3 linked regions of the Cricetulus griseus genome follow. The protein of the gene in region 3 interacts with the protein of the main gene of each other region in a biochemical or structural test. Links are inferred from orthologs where the notes say so. Each region holds a gene or a part of one and is shown on either strand. Other genes may lie near its edges.

Region 1 (6,496 bases), on a different chromosome or scaffold from region 3:
ACTGTTTATTTTTGAGGGATGAAACCACAGATTTTATACTCTATGTTAACTGAGGTAGTGTTTAAAATGAATGTCTAAAATGTTAATCCCATTATGAGTAAGACTACATTCCTTCCTTTGGAATTGTAACCACTATTTGGTCTAGTATCTCTGACATTTGGTTCTCTGGAAAGGCAGTTTTATTATCCAAGACCAAAGACCAACGTGATAGGCAATGCTCTTAGAAGTACTGTTGACATTTAAATAAACACTTGGGTTCAGTGATGAAGTTCAAAGTTTTACCCTCACTGGATTTTCTGAGTAAAGGAGAAGAACCGTGTTGTAACATGAGCAGCAGCTTAGAGCCCTTGTCTGCTTTATCGTCATGGAAGTTGCCACACAGTGCATGTAAGAACAACTTGCTGAAGTGCAGTCAGAGGAGTTAGGAGGGAGATGAAATGCTTCATCCTAGTGGGAGCTTTCAGTGCCAGTTAAAAAAAAAATCTCTGTGAGTTCTGTTTCCCAGGTCTCGAAAACAAGCCCATTATGAAAAGGGTGTACAACATGGGAAAACATGGACTGATGTCTATGACGGTGTTCAAGCTTATGTGTAACTGTAAAACAGTCTACACAAAGCAGTTACAAAAGGGTCCTAGGCAATCCAGCTGGATGTTTTTGTTCTGTACATATGATTCCAAGAAAGATAACCCTTTCACTCACAAGCATTCTAGAAATGATGTTCATGCTACTTTATGTACAAATTTGCATATTTAATTTCTGTAAAGATTTCCAAATATCTTTATACATACACAAATTAGACACACAAAACCCTGCCTTCATCAACTTCACATGTGATAAAGGCAATGACTATACTCAACTCACCTACAACTGCAATTATTTTGTGCAAAACAAGAACACTAACAAAAATGACATTGTCGCAGCTTTAAAATTTAGTGATTAAGGCTTTTCACCACAATTTTTAATCTTAATGAGTCTCAATGACTTTTTAAACACAAATATGGCTCTTTTTTTTAACATGGAATGTGTGAATTGTATTTAAGAGATTGGAAGTATCACTTAATGCTTTTCTTTGCTTTGGGTGCAGACTACTAATACTTGCTCAGTCTGTTTAAAGTGGTGATGAGAGGAGCTCATACAGATGGAAGTCCACTGGGGTTGTGTATGTATGTATGTAAATATATATATATATATATATATATATATATATATATATATATGCATTCTGGATATGGGAAGTATTTCCATTGAACTATTTATTTTAACCAACAACTGTAGTGAAAAACCTTAATTGGTACAATAACAATATATTGCAACAAACATGAAGAGATGGAAAACAAATAAGCATCTTTATGCAGTCTAACAATATAAAATAACTCTTAAGTTCCAATTGTTGAGGCTCTTCTTTTGCTCCGAGGTCAGAAACCTCTGAAGTAGTGTTACAAACATTAAGGAAATGTGGAAGGGCCAACGAAGCCCTCTTTACCAGCAGTTACAGCACAGCCTATGGGATAGCAGGATGCAGCCTCAGAGACAGTGACTCCTGGTTTCCATGAATTAGCTAACAAACAAGGCATCTTTTTGATTTACCCTTAAGAAGCATTCAGAAACAACTATGTGAAGGGTACTTCTTCATGTCCTGTTTTTGTTCCACCGCCATTATGCTTTTAAAATAAAAAAATAGAAAACCTATGTAGGTATTCAGTGCTTGGCTCTTGCATATGATGGGAACTGAATTAAAACTGTGGTAATGAATCACGAACCCGGAGAAGGGTCCAACAGGGAAGAGGAAGTTGGCTTGGTTAGGGACGACAGCAGTTGCAGCTGTTCTGTACCAATGACTGCTGGGACAGAAGACATTCCTGCCTCCCTGACAGCCAGTCAGTATTTCGTGAGGCCTTTAGGAAATCCACAAGTTTGGATAAATATATAGTGTCTAGCTATACACATCATAAATATGAGGTCAGGATTCATCAGATTCATCAACTATGGGTTGTTTTGGTGGAATTGCCAACACAGCCTCTGCTTCTTCATGCATCTAGGAAAAATGATAAATTGTTAATAAATAAAAATGGCATATAATGTAGATACACTCTTTCAACTTCTTCAAGTATAGAATAATTCTGGGAGACAAATTTCAGAAATAGTCTTACTTACTTGTAAAAATTGTACATCCTGAAATAACTCTTGTATGAACCTCCGGCATTGAAGTCTAAATGTGCAGTGTGCCAACAAATGAGAAACTTCAGAATAAAGGCATATGTCATCAAATGTTTGAGGATACTTCTCTTTAATTCTAAAATGAAAAGACAATGCTGTGATAATTTACTCATTTAACCCTTCAGAATATCACCTTCTGCTAATTTTTTCTCCAGATATTGACTGGATGGAATGTTAGGAGTGATGGCTTAGTAATATAGTGAGTTAGTTTGTCTGTCTCTTTTTCCCTTTTTTTGCTACAGGGTTTCATGTAGTCCAGGCATGCCTTGAACATGATTCCATGTCCCTAGCATCCCAGATCCTCCTGTCTCTGAGACCTCCCAAGTGCTGGGATTACGAGTATATGCCGCCAAACCTGGCTTATTACAAACTACTTCTATTTCATACTTCTTTTGAAAACCACTACTTTAAATAGCACAAATAGGGATGATTTTCTCAAAATCATTTTTTTTCATTTATCAGGCTGCTCTGAGTTAGAAAAACAATAAATATCCTAAATTTTTTCTTAAAAGAAGGAAAAGAGAAAAATAAACGATTTTAGCCTCACTTCTAAAACAGTTGGTCTTAGGTCTTCCTCACTTTCTTGAAATTTGATTGAGAAATCTAAAAAGCTTGTTTTTGTATTTGAGTTATAGCCACCAACAATTATGCCAGAAACTGAAATTTAGGAATTAAAAAAAATGTTTTATAGGTTTAACATAAATAAGTTATTTAACTTAAAACCCCAAATTTTACCAAGACTAAAAAAATGGGACAAGAGGGGTCCTGCTTTTAGATACAGTTTTCCATTTTTGCAGATTTGTTTGAAATTATTGCTGGATTCTCACTTTCTCTTCAATCTGCTCTCCAGACTAAGGTACCACAGTGAAGCAACTTTAAGCCCTATGTATAGAAGGCAGCTTGTGACTGCTGTTGTGCAAGTGTCTTCCTGCAATTTACAAAGTAGAACAAGCTCACAACCTTCACATAGTTACTCACGTCAAAAGCCCTGTTTCGTGACACTTGGTAGAAACTGAACTACTCAAATTGACGACTAATCTTAGCACTTCTTTACGAAGCAGGATACGGCACATTGGTGTATCATCTGGAATGGTTTTCACACCTGAAATGAAGACGTCAGTGTGAGGTCACTTATCATATCACAATGTAGAAATGACTATGGTTCACGGTTATTTATTTTCCAACTACAAAAGCAACTGAAATTGGAATCAACTGCACAAAATCTGCCAATGAAGTAGGGGCAAAGCTCTCATAGAAGTAGAGCACGGAGAGGGAACGGGCTATGAATGGCTGGCATAGGTGCAGTATTTAAGAGTCTGCTAAATGTCTTACACAGACCTGTTAGAGCTCTGAGACAACTGTACATTACAGTACATATGCTAGCAGGCAAAACCAACTGAATGCAGTTTTATTAAGGATGCAGAAACTGCATCTAAAGACTCACCCAGTAGCAGCTCTGTGCTTTTGGTGCTGCTGGCTGAGCCTTCCTGAGATGCACCGTCGCTGCATCCAGAAATCCCTGAGAACTTAGAGGGAACCACTTCTAAGGGATTGTGGATCGTCTGCTCACACCAATCAGAATACGGAATATCTTGAAGGTCTGAAGGTAAAAGCATTTCGATTAGAGCTCATTCCTGTGGTAGGACTGCACACTCTAAGAGAACTCCTTCCCTGTTCTCAACAATTTCTTTTCATTAAGATTTTTCAAAGTAAATCTAGACTGCTCAGATATTGAGAGTTCAAACAAGAGAACCTGCTATGTTCTAGAGTTGATTTTCCTAGTAAAAATGTAGGAATAAGTCATTAATTTTCAAGCAAATACGTATAAAAGAACACACCTTATTATCTTCTCTTCTCCCATCCTTTCTACCTCTATCTGAATGCCTCACCCAGCAGTAAATGCAATTAAAAGCATAATGTTATTTCAGACCTCTCCTATTTTAATTTTTCCTTCTTGTTCTTCTCTCCGTGCACTGTGCCCACGCTGGGATTCTGAAGTCCACCTAACATTAACATCTAAGCTAACATGCTTTTTTGGTTTAAAAATGCCCTGGCCATGGATCATCTGTATGGTTCAAAGGGTTAGAAGGGTGCTTGCTGCTAAGTCTTACTACCTGAATTCAACCCCAGGACCCACAGGGTGGAAGGAGAAAACTGACTGCAATCAGTTGTCTTCTGATCTTCAAGGTCCTGTGGTACATGTACCATGATACACATGGTACATAAACACAGGAACAAATAAAAATGTAATTTAAAAAATCCCTAGGTATTACAATCAATGATGAAAACAAATGTGAAAAAAACTGTTGATCATCCTTTCAGGATAACACTGGACATCCTACAACAATCAGACAAGCTTAGTGCTACATAACGCAATGGAAGTTAGTTAAGCATTCACTCCGCTCATGAAAAATATAACTCAGCGAAAATAGACATTCAGCTAGAAAGTCAGACCTTCTAAAAGCTGGCCTACTTCCCTTTCATCATACCAATATTGAAGAAAAGAGTTTCAACCTCACCCAACCTTGGTTCCCAAAAAATAAACTTTGCACTACTTTTTATTCCATCTCCAAACACTTCTCAGATTACTATTTCCATGTCTACTGTGCTAGATAGTTTTATGTCAACTTGATAAAAGCTATGTAATCTGACAGGAGAGAACTTCATTTTTTAAAAAAATGCCTCCATAAGATTGGGCTTAGGCCAGAACACCAATAGCACAGGAACTAAGATCAATAAATGGAAACTCTTGAAACTGAAAAGCTCTGTAAGGCAAAGGATACCAGCAACAGGACTATCCCACATCTGGCTAACATCCCAAACACATAAAGAACTCAAGAAACTAGACACCAACAAATCAGATAATACAATTTAAAAATGGCATACAGATCTAAGTAGAGAACTCTCAAATGGCCAAGAAACACTTAAAGAATTTTTTCAACATCTTTAGCAATCAAGGAAATGCAAATCAAAACGACTCTGAAATCCCATTTTACGCCTGACATAATGACTAAGATCAATAACACAAGTGGCAGCTCATGCTGGCAAGGATGTAGAGCAAGGGGATCACTCCTCTATTGTGGGTAGGAGTCTAACCTTGTACAGCCACTATGGAAATCAGTATAGAGATTCCTCAGGAAACTGGGAATTGATCTACCTCAAGACCACTCCTGGGCATATACCCAAAGGATGTTCCATCCTACCACAAAGACATTTGCTCAACTATGTACAGAACAGCTTTATTTGTAATACCCAGAAACTGGAAACCACCTAGATGTCCCTCAACCAAAGAACTGATAAAGAAAATGTGGCACATTTATACAATGTTAAAAAAAGATCATGAAATTTGCAGGAAATTATCCTGAGTGGAGTAAACCAAACAAACCCCAAAGACAAACATGGTATTACTCACTTATAAGTGGCTATTAGCTGTAAAGTAGAGCATACATGGCTTTCTCTGGGAACGGCAGAGTAGAGGAGTTCATGGGTAGACTGAGGGCAGGTGGGGATGGGAATAGAAGGGATTAGATGGGGACAGTGGAGGGAGAGAGTACTGGGAGAGATGACTGGAATCAGGGAATTTCAGAGGTGAGGAACAAACAGTGCAATGGAAACTCCTAGGAATCCACAAGGGTGACCCTAGTGAAGAATCCTAGTAATGGGGGTTATGTAGCCTGAACTGGCCATCTCCTGTAACCAGACAAGACTTCCAGCCAATACTTTTGAGGTACTGGTCCCTTCTGGGTGGGGCCTCAGGTGCTACATGTGGACTGGCAGGAGATCTCTCTTGGGTGGTGATGGCAAATGGGATTTCAGCTTCCAAGGCTCTGGGCAAAACACCTTGGTGCTCTACCTTATTTTTTAATTCATGAGTGATTTACCAAAAAAATATCTGACTTCCCTTTATCCAAGCTTTTGTGGACTCTATTACAATTGTCAATTACAGGATTGGGACACCAACCAAGCCATAAACAAATCTGCTCTGCCTGCAAGATATGCTGGGGTAAAGGTGGTATAAAACTTGTGGGTGTGGCCAACCAATGACTGATCCAAACTAAGACCCACACCTAGATGGTGCCCAGGCCTGACACTACTAGAGTTAGGAACCAGAGTCTGGATAGTCCAGAGACCAAACATGCTCAGGAGGGGGGGATGTCAATAAAATGATTCTTAATGATACTCTCTATACTCATAGACCAGAGTCTAGCACAATCATCATCAGAAAGGCTTCATGCAGCAACTGATTCGAGCAGATGCAGAGACCCACAGCTAAACATGA
Region 2 (6,101 bases), on a different chromosome or scaffold from region 3:
TAAATTTAGACACTGTAAAGTACTACGGTCAGTTCCTTTTTATGAATGGCAGAATCTTGTGAAACAGGACTGTGATAATGCAGATGGGCAGTCTATTCTGTGTGCTCCACATGGAGCTACTCCCAGGATTCCTGTCAGTTTCTTTGTCAATTGGAATAAAATGGGATCGTCTATCACTACCACACCTCCAGAGATGGACAGCATGAGAATTCATGACCAACTATCTTATGAATCCTAGAACAAGGTTTGAAGATGAACAAATAATCCATTTACAGATGTTTCCATCACAGATGAGACAAGTCTGAGTGCTAAAGTGAGTAGATGGAGGCATTTCTCTAGAAAATGACCAGAACAGGGTCAGTCTGGTGCCAGGGCTGTTAAGTACATGACTGGTCCCAGTTTACTGGTAGAACTCTTAGAGGAATGTTTATCAAGTCTCAAGTGCATCTCCAGGACCCTCTTCCTCAAATTTTATGTAGCCCTGGAACTGCTCAGGCTGTATGAACTTGAGATAATTCTCCCTCCTGGGTGCACAGCCACACCTAGCTCCTGACTCTTAAAAAGGCAATAAGCATGAATTACAGCGATTAGATGAAATTGAACTGGTGTTATCAAGTGTTTTTGTTTTAAAGGAATGCAAATTTTTAAGTTTTAGGGGCTTTGTTTTTATATCCTCTACATGTCTAATAGTCTCTATCTACACATGTGAGCCAGTTTTCCCACCATTAGAATTTCTTCATTCTTGTGTAACAATTCCTTGATTTTATTAGAAAATGATGGTGTATGCCTTTAACCCCAGATATGAGGAGGCTAGGGCAGGCAGATCTCAAGCTCAAAGCCAGCTGGTCTATAGAGTTCCAGGACAGCCAGGGGTACAGAAAAACCCTGTCGTGAAAGAAAAATGTAGTTGCATATACTAACTTCACAATTGGTCTCTCTGAACCCACTCCTGCCTTGTAGATTGCTCAGGTGCACAAACCAGAGGGGACAGGCTCATCTCCCACTTCAATCTTAGCCCCTGTCTTCTAAAGACTGCCCACTCCTACCATTTTCATAGCGGTTCTTCCCATCACTTCCATCTCTGTGGCTCAGCCTTGGTCTGCAGTTTTGTGTTATCATGCAATGCTCTAACAGTGGTTTGACCTACACCTTCAGATGTTACAAGCTCAGAGTTGCAATGGGTTTTACTAGTATTCATTTATTTGGATTTTTTTTTTTTTTTTTTTTTTTTTTGAGACATAGTTTCTCTTTACATAGCTCTCTGGCTATGTTGGAACTCTCTATGTAAACCAGGCTGGTCACGAACTCAGAGAGATTGGCCAGTCCCTGCCCCGAATTGCCAAGATTAAAGACATGAGCCACTAGGCCCTGTTCCCTGTTTTTTTGTTTTGTTTTTTGTTTTTTTAATAAAAACTGGTTTTCTCAATCTTTTTTCTTAACATTCCTAACCCCCCTTAGCAGGCATACCATTGCTGTGAATAAGCAAGTTTTCATGGGACATACACCATTTCCTTGGTAGGACAATCCTAGTAACTACATTTAGTATAGAAAGGGTTTATTTTTGCCTCTACCTCCAGAATATTGAGAATAAGCAGCATGTACTACCACACCTGGTTATAAAATGCTTTTGAATTTTCAAAACCATTCTGAAAGTGAAAAATAACCAAATGTGCTAAATGGGTGATTCTCCTATGGGAAATACTGTTGTGAATAAACTCGATCCAGAGTAATTTAAGTCACGATATTCCTTTATTAGTGTCAGCTCCTTTAATTTTTGTCAGAGCTAAACAATTTAATATAAAAATGTCATTTTTGTTCATACAGTATATAAAAAAGTATAGTGGTTTGGTTAGTTTTGCAATAATTTGCTTTTAGCCAGATGTCATAAAAATCTATGAATGTAACAAATAAGAACAGTATAAATAAGTTTTGTAGTATTTACACTTACACAGAAACTAGCCCAAATGATGCCCTAAGAAATTAACTTCAGAGTTAAAATGAAACTGATTCAACATTGAGACATGAATGCTCTGTAGTTTCATATTATTTCTACGCTAACTTTGGCTATAGTTCTGCATAGTTCCTATAAAGTGTGTTTCTGCATTTCACATCACAGTAGGAAGTCTTAGCAGTACAAAACAAACACTAGCTCAAAACAAAAGGCTCCATCTTTCCGAACCTAGTTTTTCTTGGTGTCTGGCTTCTTGCTTTTGGGAACCAGGAATACATTGCCGTCTCTGGTCTGCTGCAGGGAGTACTCACTAGGAGAGTAAGGGTTTCCATCCTCATCACGTAACATGCTGAAGACTTCAAGGTACAAGGTGCTGAGCTGCCTCTTCAGTAGATGGAGGTTTCTGTCGTTTTCTCCCTTTTCTCTGAGTAGTTTTTCTCTTTCATCTTTTAAGTGGCCTAAGTCTTGCTCCAGTTCTACTATGTTCTCCAGTTTCCTTTTCCTACAGTTCTGAGCAGCGACTTTATTCTTGCCTCTCCTGCGTATATCTCTGATTAATGCAAGCTGAGCTTCATTGAATTGCTCCTTGGACATCATTTCATTGAAGTCATCAACAGGGAGGTTAATGATTTTTTCAACAGGGAATGGGATATGGAGAGCTTTTGCCCTAAGCTCATCTCTTGTGAGATGAGCCTCCAAGCGGCTTGAATGTTTGTCTTTTGTGAATGGGACTTTTTGATGACCAGGACTCACAGGCATTTCTTTTTTTGTTGTATTTTCACACTGGGCATCATGTGCAGGAGGACTGTGCCCTAGAGCTGGTGACAGAGGTTGCACTGTATCCCCAGAAGAATGTGTTGGCTGTGCCTTAGGACCATTCTGTTTGACACTTCCAGGGGCACTATCTAGCTCTTCCATTTCAGAGTCACTGAACCCAGGCGGTGGGTCTCCGTAAATGGAAGACTCCGCAGAGTGCTCTGGGGATGCTCGGCTGGGACTAGTGTTCAGTGAGATGCCAGAGTCAGAGTCATTGAATTCTGCTGTGCTTTCGGGGTGCTTCTGGTTGAAAGCTTTACAAAGTGACAGATCACAGCCATCAATAGGCCCGCCCAGAAGTTCAGAGAGTGACTGACTGACGGCAGCAGAGGAAGCCATGCTGCTACTGCCACTGGGCTCTGCTATGAAAGCAGAATAGAACTCATCACCAAAATCTGTGTTTAATGTGGAATTTGAATCTAAGGAGGTGAGCTGGCTGGCGTCTTCCGTGGAGAGGATGCTGCCGAAAGAATCTTCAAAACCATGAAGAAAATGTGGACTGCAACTGTCGACTTCTTTATCCAGTGAGGGGACGGATGAGTAAAAATGGTAATTGCTGTCAATTTCTGTCAGATTGGCTTCTGGGCTGGGAACAGTGGCAGTCTCAACCAGCGGCTTGTTTTCAGTATTAAGACACTAGAAAAGAAGTTCATATTGTATGAATTGTATTGTATGAATACGATATTGTATGAATAGAGGCTAGGTATTTTAAAATCAATTCTCTACCCCCCATTTCCAAGGTGTTCTTTTCAATAATTCCAATAACTCTAATTTCCTATAGATCGATATGATTGTCAGAGCTCTAAATTAGCTTTCACACTTAGAATGAATCTATCCTGAAATATTCAGCCTGCTTAACTAAAAACTGTATGTGTTAAATGAGCCTGGGATGCTCTCATGAGTAATTCAAACACACCCCCAATTTCTTCCTGTAAGTAGGTGACATGTAAATAATAAATAACCAGGATGACTAATTTAAGGGCCACATAGGAAACAGCACACTCACAGAGCTCGCTTACCTGTAATTCGGGAATGGAAAGAAGCTCCTGCCAAACTTGCTCCATGTCCTGCTGTATGCTGTTTAGATCAGTCATGGCTGTCTCCAGACAGCTGTCCAGTGACTGAGCCTGATCCGGACTGCTGAAGACTGGGCTTTCAACGTTGCTGGAAATATCCAGGGTGAGTGATTGAAATGTAGGTGAAGAAACCTAAGATTGACAAGGCACTTACATTAGTGACGGCCAAGGCATGCAGAGGACACTTAATTGGGTCTGCAGCTCTTTGATTACTTATCACTGTTTCTATACAACAACATTTCATCCTTCCAAAATGACTCCACATTTACAATTTACTAAGCTGTTGCCCATGTATTTAAGGGCAGATTTCAAAATGGATAAAAATAATTATGAGGACTTAATTTCTATCTGTAACATCTAGCAGAGTGCTTCAAACAATAGATAAAGCTTTTTTTTGGGGGGGGGCAGGGTTTCTCTGGGTAGCTTTGGAGCCTATCCTGGAACTATGTAGACCAGGCTGGTCTCGAACTCACAGAGGTCAACTGCCAAGTGCTGGAATTAAAGGTGTGCACCACCAATGCCTGGCAAGAATGTTAACTAAAGTACTGGTTAATAGTTGCTCTTTACTGGTCAGTATTTTATATACCTATATCCATTTCCTATGGAAAATTAACTCTTGATTCATTTTTTTTGTAGCTACACAGTAAAATTGACTTGAGGTTTAGTATTATATACAGACCTTATTTTTAAGCATCGTATAGATACCTGTATAATTCCCTTAACAAATAATTTCTTTGGTCAAATATGTCCTTCTAAAATTTTTTTTATTCTTATACTTGGGGACACATTAAAGGAACTAATACCAAATAAGGGAGTTTTGCTGTTAAGCAAACATTTTTATACCTCATGGTCATCTACAAATGGGAATGTCTCTGCCAAAAGCTGCATGCAGTCTTCAAAGTACAAGGCATCTGGTTTGGGAATGTGGGTCACCTGGATCAAGAGGGAATGGCACAAAAGAATTTATTAAAAGTTCTGCTGAGCCCAAGAGGTGTGACTGGCATCAAGAGTTGTTCCTTAAATAATGATACAAACTAATGTTACTTCAGAAATCAGTCTGTTGCACAAGTTCAAACCAGATCACTTAGATTCAAATCTTAGTCCCATCCCCTCCCCGCTTAATAAACAGTGCTGGGGGATTGAACAGAGGGCCTTGTGCTAGGCAATAACCTCCCCTAATTTTCTGAGTGGTCTGGGTAAATGATTTAACCCTTCTGAGCTTTAGTTGTCTGTCAACTTACATGGGAATCATAGTACTTAACATAGTAAGTTAAATCAGTTATTCATATAACTAGGGCGATGCCTGCCACAACACTGTGAGCAATGCACACCAGTTTACTACCAACAGCACTACTGTTGCAGTTTCTCCCAACAGGTATTTCTGTAATTCTCCAAGTGCTCCCTGTGATCCATGTCTTGATCATCACAAGGACCCTTAAGAGGAGCTCAGGTACTGAACTCATCAGGAAGCCAAGCTTGGGAACTTGATCTAGTCACAAAAGACATGGTAGACAACAGACAAAGAACTCAAATCCAGGTGGTCCACTTAGAGGAAAACTCATTTTTTTTTTCTTTTTTTTTCTGAGAACTAAGTATACCTGGGAATAGCTGGCAGATCCACTGGCATCTGTCTGGATGTGCTGGGCTGGCTGAATTGGGAGGAATTCTCCTGTCTCTTCATCCAGTTGTAACTGAGCGAAAAAGGCCTTCTCCTGTTCCTTCTGGAGTTGCTCTTGTCTCTCCTTTTCAAGTTTTTTCTGTTTTTCCAGCTCATAGTCTTTCTGTCGCTGACTGAAATCAAACACTTCTCGGCTTACCCCAAGATCTATGTCTTGCCTCCAAAGGATGTCAATCAAATCCATGTCCTGTGTTTAAGAAAGAAAAGGAAGGAGAAACCATGTTCAAGATGGTCCACATGGGTTAATTCACTGTATGCCATCCTTGATGGGGGAGAATACAAACTCACGCTAAATGAGAGTATAGATCTAGAAATCTAGAAGAGCGCTGCTAATTCCATTCACTCATCTATTTACTAAAAGCAACAGTACCTATAGCTACCATTCTAATCACAATTTGAATCATTAAAGAGGACTACCTACTACCTATAAAAGTATCAAGGGAGTATATGCTAAACATGCCACACCACTGACCTAGACCCTCACGTAAAAATTTTCCTAAAACACTCTCTAGAACAATGGTTGTTCTGGAGAGACTGAAGACATCAAATTTAAGACATAGGGAAATCTTACAAAGAGAGG
Region 3 (6,496 bases):
GCCTGTTTGTACACAACAGTCACACCCAGTGTTTTTTCTTTTTTGATTTTTTTTAATTAGTTCAAATTAGGAACAAGCTTGTTTCACATGTCAATCCCTTCTCCCTCTCCCTCCCCTCACCCCCACCCCCACCCAGTGTTTTAAAACAAAAGCATACCACGCACACAATGCTGATGTGGCAGTGGCTTTCTTTTTGCACAGGGTTTCACTATGTGGCTTAGGCCAGACTCAAACTAATGGTCTCCGACACCTTAGTCTACTGAGCATGGATTATCAGCAGGTGTCATCACAGCCATCAAGCTTGAATGTTAGTACTCCTGTAGGGGTCAGGGGAAAACTTGCAGGACCAAGCAAGTTCCAAGGATCAAACTCAAATTGTCAGTCTTGATAGCAGGTGCCTTTCCCAAGTAAGCCATCTTGCTAGCCCTGACTTTTCTCACTTAACACCTCCTTGATGTCATTCCCATCCAGTTTAGACAGCTCCCTCATTTTTTACCCTCAGCGGCATGTATAACATTGTATTTGTATATATCAACTTATTTGGACATTTCATTGCTAGTAGATATTTAGTAACAATGCTATATTAAAGACACTAAACACACATAATCTCTCTGTAAATAGTTTTTAGAAGTTAACTGTAGGAGGAAAGGTACTCACATTTAGTATTCCAATAAAAATATCAAAACCATCCTCACAGGGAACTACATTAATTTATATCCCCTGAGTAAGGATTATAGGACCTAGGCTACCATTGCAATATATTTGAGTATGAGGGAAGTAAGAAAGCCAGCTCACCTTCCAAAGTCACAGAGTTTTAATACAGCTGTATCAGGATCCAACAAGAGGTTCTGTGGTTTAATATCTCGATGGCAGATTCCAAAGGAATGGATATAGGCTAAACTTCTGAACAGCTGATACATATACAACTGGAATAAATAATAGACATTAATTCAGCACCTCTGGTTTCAGACACAATTGTATCATTATGCAATAAACAAAGTAATAGTCTCAGCAGAACATGTACAACGCTGATGATTACTAGTACTGTTTTGCCTACACAAGCTTTCATGTTGTTTCCATAAACACTAGGAAATTAAAGTATCATTAAGCATATATTTGTGCTATCCTTTAGTAATTTAGAAAAGTATCTAGGCTTGGTGTCATACAACTGAGGCAGGGGAATTCTAAGTTTAAGGTCTACCTAGGAAACTTAGTGAAACCATATCTCAATCTAAAATTTAAAGAGGGCTAGGGATGTAGCTAAGCAGTAGAGCACTTGCTTAGCACACAAAAAAAGTCAGGGGTTCAATCCCTTTCACCCACTTTAACATCTCATCTGAAGTCAGCTGGATGAATTTTTTTACTTAAAACATCGATGAAGAGCTCAGAGGGAGAGACCGACCATAGTCTATGAGTGATAGATAGCAGCCTTTAGATGATAAACCATGTTCATTATTCTTTCTAGTATCTCAGGCTGTAAAAGCATAGTGTCATTTTTAGTATCATTTATCTTTCTGAAAGGTTAGTCTCCAAAATCATATAATAGAAGCCAGGAAAACTCACAGGTAAAGTAAGAAATCTAATCAATTGCCTTTTCAGACATCAGTAACTCTGCTAATAAGTAGTATTAATAACCTTCAGAATAATGTAGACTTGCAATGCCACCTAAAAACAGATGCCAGGGGGGTCTCTGAGTCCAAGGATGGCTTGGCCTATAGAGCAAATTTCAGAGCTCACACACGATATATCCTCTGAGAGTGACCCACTATCCCATGTTCTCTCACCTTGCTTTCCCTACCTCGATGCACCCTATCCTCCAGAACTATTAGGCCAAAATAAACCTTTCCTTCATTGAGTTGCCTTTGTCTGGAATTTTGTCAGAGCAACCAGAGAAATACCCTTAAAACTTTAAGAAAACATACCGATGTAACACCTTCAATATTCTATTTATTCCAAGGCCAGTGTTGTGACTCTTTCCCTTCGTTACTTCCTTTCTTCCTTATTTATTTATTTACTTATTATTTGTTTACTTATTTCTTAGTTATTGATTTATTCATTTTTAATCTCTTCCAGGACATACTACTCCTGTTGTATACAAGCTGGTCTTGATCCTGTCATTCTTTTGTCTTACTCCAAATTGCTAAGATTATAGATATGTACCACTACACTCAACCAGATTCATTTTAAATTTTTTCTACATGCTCACTTTCTGAGCTCTACTCCCTGATTAACACCATGGAAACAATTGCTGCAATGATTCCAATCAAAGACACAGTGTCTGACTAAGGAAAAAAAAAAAAAATGAACAGCCAGACAATGGTGGTGTACATCCTTAATCCCAGCACTCAGGAGGCAGAGGCAGGCGGATCTCTGTGAGTTTGAGGCCAGCCTGGTCTACAGGGTGAGTTCCAGGACAGCCTTCAAAGCTACACAGAGAAACCCTGTCTCAAAAAACAAAAACAAAACAACAAAAAGCCAATAAAAAGATTAAAGGTCAGCTGAGGTACTGACAAAAGACCCTGTCTTTTCTGGATATATTGTTGGGGACTGGCATTATTGAAGTTCACAGGAAAGCCACTTTTCTTTAGAAGCATAATGAAACTGCTAAGGCTGGACATGTTAACAGTACATGTTTAATGTGAATCTGAAATCAAGCTATGCAAGTTAGAGCCTTCTTCAAAATGAAGCATGACAAAAATGTATACCTAAGATCTTCAATGTCAACATTTTCTAATTAAATCAGAAGTAAAGCATTTAGATACCTATTAATCTTTTTAAAGGCTTTGTAACTATTATTGTATCATTGTTCATTTACAGAATCAAGTTTTAAGTTCCAAAGCTTACTCTGGTAGCTGAATTCATTATCTCCAACCAAATGATCTATAACCAAGAGAGTTCATGGGCATCAAAGGAAAGATTTAGCTGTTTCAGGGTATTAATATTTAGATTAACAAAACTCGGTGAAAGACATTTTCTTACAAAAGATGTCCTTAGCAGTTTAAGATTCATTTAAAGATATCTCATCACTGTTCTTTTCATTTGTCTTGGAAAAGTAAAGTTTAAGAATGAAATGAGACTGCATCTTTTTTTGGGGGGGGGGCCTTTGGTCTACTTTATAAAAATGTACTTTTATGAAGAAAGTTGAAAGGCTTCCTGCACTACAATGAGCAAAAGAACAACAGCACCAAAAACAACCAACACTGTGCTGGGTACCATCCTAAGGCTTGTGTTTAAAACTGACAAGTTTAAATTTGTACAATGAATGTAATAAGTGTCTACAAATGGTAATAAAGCATTAAATAAGTATATTAATAACTGTAAATTTACCTAGTAGGTTCCTGCTTTGGTGTGTGGCACAATGAAGACATCTAAAACTAAAATGATGTTATGGGGCTGGGAGATGTCTCACTGGGTTAGAGTATTTGCTGCACACACACGAAAACCTCAGTTTGGATTTCTGGCACCTGTGTAAAAAGGTGGGACTAGTTGCACTTGGCTGTTACCCCAGCACTGCATGGGGAGGGAGGTTCAGACCAGCCCAAGTCATAAGCTTATGTAAGAGGCCTTCTCAAGGCAAAGGTGGGAGGCTATGGGGAAGGGAGCACATCCTCCTCCTCTGGTCTTCACTTGTGCCTCACCCTGCACCCCACACACAAGGTGTTATGGCTATCACAATTAAAACCCCTAACCATGAAAGTTTAACTGCATCTTATCAGAATATCCATTTCAATTCACTTATCTCATGTGCATGTGTGTGCCAACATGATGTGTCTGAGGTGGGGCACATAAAACCTGGCATGCATGTGGAGGTTTAGAGGGCTCTATAGAGTTGGTTCTCTTCTACCTGTATGTACGTCCCATAGAACTCAAATGACCAGGCTTGCACAGCAAGCACCTTTATCCACTGCAGAGTAATGAAGGCTTTAAAGGGAACTCTATGTTTCAAAATCAAGTCAGAACTAACAAAATCTAGAGTTTGCTGCTTCTCTGAGGAGTAAAAGCAGTGTTGACAAGTTGAAACAAACCCAATACTCTGCGTGGTTCATATTAAATGTTTGGTAAACTGGAAGTCGTTCCATTGTTACACACCTTGACATAGATCACAGGGAGTGTCTGTTTGGCTCGACTATAGTGTCTGGCAACTCTATACACTGTTTCCGGAACATAGTCCAGCACCAGATTAAGGTAGACCTCATCTTTCTGAAAGAGAATGAAAGAACAACAACAAAATTAGAGACTGATCTTACATATTCAAATTAGAGTAAATTCTCCATACACCCACTTATTTTTAAAGAAAAATTTCATATGGTTCATTTTAATTATACAATTACTTTTGAACATAACCAGAACTGTACAAATGCATCTACCACACTTTATAATCCCGGTATTATTAAGATTCCTATCATGTGCTTATGCATGTGTTATAAGTTTATTACTTGTCATATCTTTTATTATTTTATAGGCTGAAAAACCAATGTCTCCCCTTAAATCAGGAAAGACAACCTGACGACAATGCGGAGTTGCTACTAGCCTGACTCTGCTGCAGATTGCTATGTATACATCACAATGTGCCTCAGCTTCAGCTTCTTCCACTCCTACAAAGGGCTGAGCTACGTATTCTTTGAAATGCTTTAACATCTCCACAATGTTCCTGTTTGCTGGACAGTCTAAAATTTGTAGAACAATCACTAGTACACAAAACAAAACTTATGGCAAGGAGATCATACTCACTGGCTTATCAAAGGCCTAGGTGTCAGTTTCTCTTTGTAGCATCATAAAGACAGGAATTCAGTGCCAGTCAAGAGAAACAAGAGGACAAAGCACTAGCCACACCCTGTTCTCTGAACAGCGCCAGTTAGGTAAACTGAGGCAGAAAATATAGCTGAGGATTACTATTGGCTACTGAGTGGTAAAACTGCAGACCAATGATCAATGATACTAATTCTAACAAACCCAAATAAATGACTTGTGTTGGGGCTCATGGAGTATCTCCTACAGGAGGAAAGTGGGTGCACGTATAAAGTTACCAAGCGTAACTCATTCCTCTACACCCCTCTCTTTGAATAAGGTGATATGTAATTTCTGCAATAACAATTCTAGTATTGCTGAAAAGTTCAAATCTAGTCTCCTGAGACTCAAAGCAAACTATTAGCTATGAGCTCTGGAAAAATCAAAACTAAGTTACATACTTTCAATACAACAGCGGGACAGGCACAGGTTAACATCCCTGTTGCAAGGGGAAAGAATAGTACAAAACCAAATTCAAACAAGGAAAGGATTAAAATCTTAGACCTAGGGTATTCAACCCCCAACCCCCACCACACCTTTCCACAAAGTTATTTTCAGGCTGTTAAAGGCCTTACCACAACTGACAACCTGAAAATACAGCTGATATCGGCCAAATCCTCTTAAGTTGTGAGTTAAAATAATTTACATTGTTTTCCACAGGTTATTTTTTGTCACACCAGTGTTTTGAAAGCTAACGCCATGTATGATTTCATTTATTAGAATTTGAAGAAACAAATGTCGACAATGGTTAAGTAACAAATGTAAAGGTGTAGCCAGACTCTGAATACAGCAAGGAATAGTGAGTAAGTGGTAAATCAGTCTAAGACATAACTAAACACATTCACAAACAATTCCCAAATGCGCTAACCAAATACAAGTACAGGAGATACGCTTGAAGTGTCTCATTTTACCCAGCCATCTAAAACTGACACCGCCAGGAAGAATGGCTGAAAATGGAAGACCAAGTACGAACTGTAAGGCCTCTCATAGGCCATATTGATCTACTGAACTCTTAACGTGAAATTTAACCTTATAATGAAAACTCAGAGCATCAATACACAAAGACAGATCAGAAAAATCAAGAAACAGGACAGCCATTGGGAAAGTAAATGACAGGTGTAACTGAACAAAGCTGAACAGGAATCAACGAGATACTTCTAATGAAATGAAACACATGAGGCTCAGAAGAAGGGCTAGGCTCAGATCAATAAAGACAATTCCACTCTGCTCTGTATCGTTCAGGTCTCATTACAAAACAAAGTACTGACAAAAATCCCTTTTTAGGTTATACTGTTCAACAAAGCAGAATACACCAAAGGGCGGTAAATAAAATCATGTCTGCTAGAGGGTCAATACTCCAATTTATTATTATATCATGAGAAACATGAAGCTTAAATAAGGGTATTTGTTAAATTAATAAATGTTTTAATGCAAATTAAATAATCATGGTATTAACCCATGGAGTGAGAGTATTCAACCCCAGAAAACATGGGAAGAAAAGTGGTATTTTGCATCCTATTTGGAGGTTCCTGTAAAGATTATTCAGGTGACTCATATTTAATATGACAGTATCTCAAGAAGAAAGAAGGCCCAGGATTCTGCACTTCTGGCACTTGTAATTTTCTGAAATGCAGGTTTGCTGGGATCTCAAAATAATCTCCTTTGAGTCACCAGAAAATTCAGCAATTGGATGTAAATTTAAAGCTAA

The links.
Region 1: of the proteins of Gsk3b (region 3) and Rictor, one has a biochemical effect on the other in vitro, tested with the Homo sapiens proteins (2 studies listed by BioGRID). The link is inferred for Cricetulus griseus from reciprocal best matches to the Homo sapiens genes GSK3B and RICTOR.
Region 2: of the proteins of Gsk3b (region 3) and Nfe2l2, one has a biochemical effect on the other in vitro, tested with the Homo sapiens proteins (2 studies listed by BioGRID). The link is inferred for Cricetulus griseus from reciprocal best matches to the Homo sapiens genes GSK3B and NFE2L2.

Annotation. Positions count from the first base shown.
Region 1 is NC_048595.1:340,527,069-340,533,564, reverse strand, and holds part of Rictor (rapamycin-insensitive companion of mTOR), read right to left. Parts: intron 3,818-6,496; coding exon 3,662-3,817; intron 3,320-3,661; coding exon 3,196-3,319; intron 2,294-3,195; coding exon 2,155-2,293; intron 2,036-2,154; coding exon 1,961-2,035; 3' UTR 1-1,960. UniProt on the Homo sapiens protein: Component of the mechanistic target of rapamycin complex 2 (mTORC2), which transduces signals from growth factors to pathways involved in proliferation, cytoskeletal organization, lipogenesis and anabolic output.
Region 2 is NC_048599.1:99,391,689-99,397,789, reverse strand, and holds the end of Nfe2l2 (nuclear factor erythroid 2-related factor 2), read right to left. Parts: exon of another isoform or gene 5,709-6,101; coding exon 5,442-5,708; intron 4,777-5,441; coding exon 4,687-4,776; intron 3,976-4,686; coding exon 3,787-3,975; intron 3,404-3,786; coding exon 2,180-3,403; 3' UTR 1,728-2,179; downstream 1-1,727.
Region 3 is NC_048597.1:51,925,622-51,932,117, forward strand, and holds part of Gsk3b (glycogen synthase kinase-3 beta), read right to left. Parts: intron 4,201-6,496; coding exon 4,090-4,200; intron 927-4,089; coding exon 796-926; intron 1-795. UniProt on the Homo sapiens protein: Constitutively active protein kinase that acts as a negative regulator in the hormonal control of glucose homeostasis, Wnt signaling and regulation of transcription factors and microtubules, by phosphorylating and inactivating glycogen synthase (GYS1 or GYS2), EIF2B, CTNNB1/beta-catenin, APC, AXIN1, DPYSL2/CRMP2, JUN, NFATC1/NFATC, MAPT/TAU and MACF1.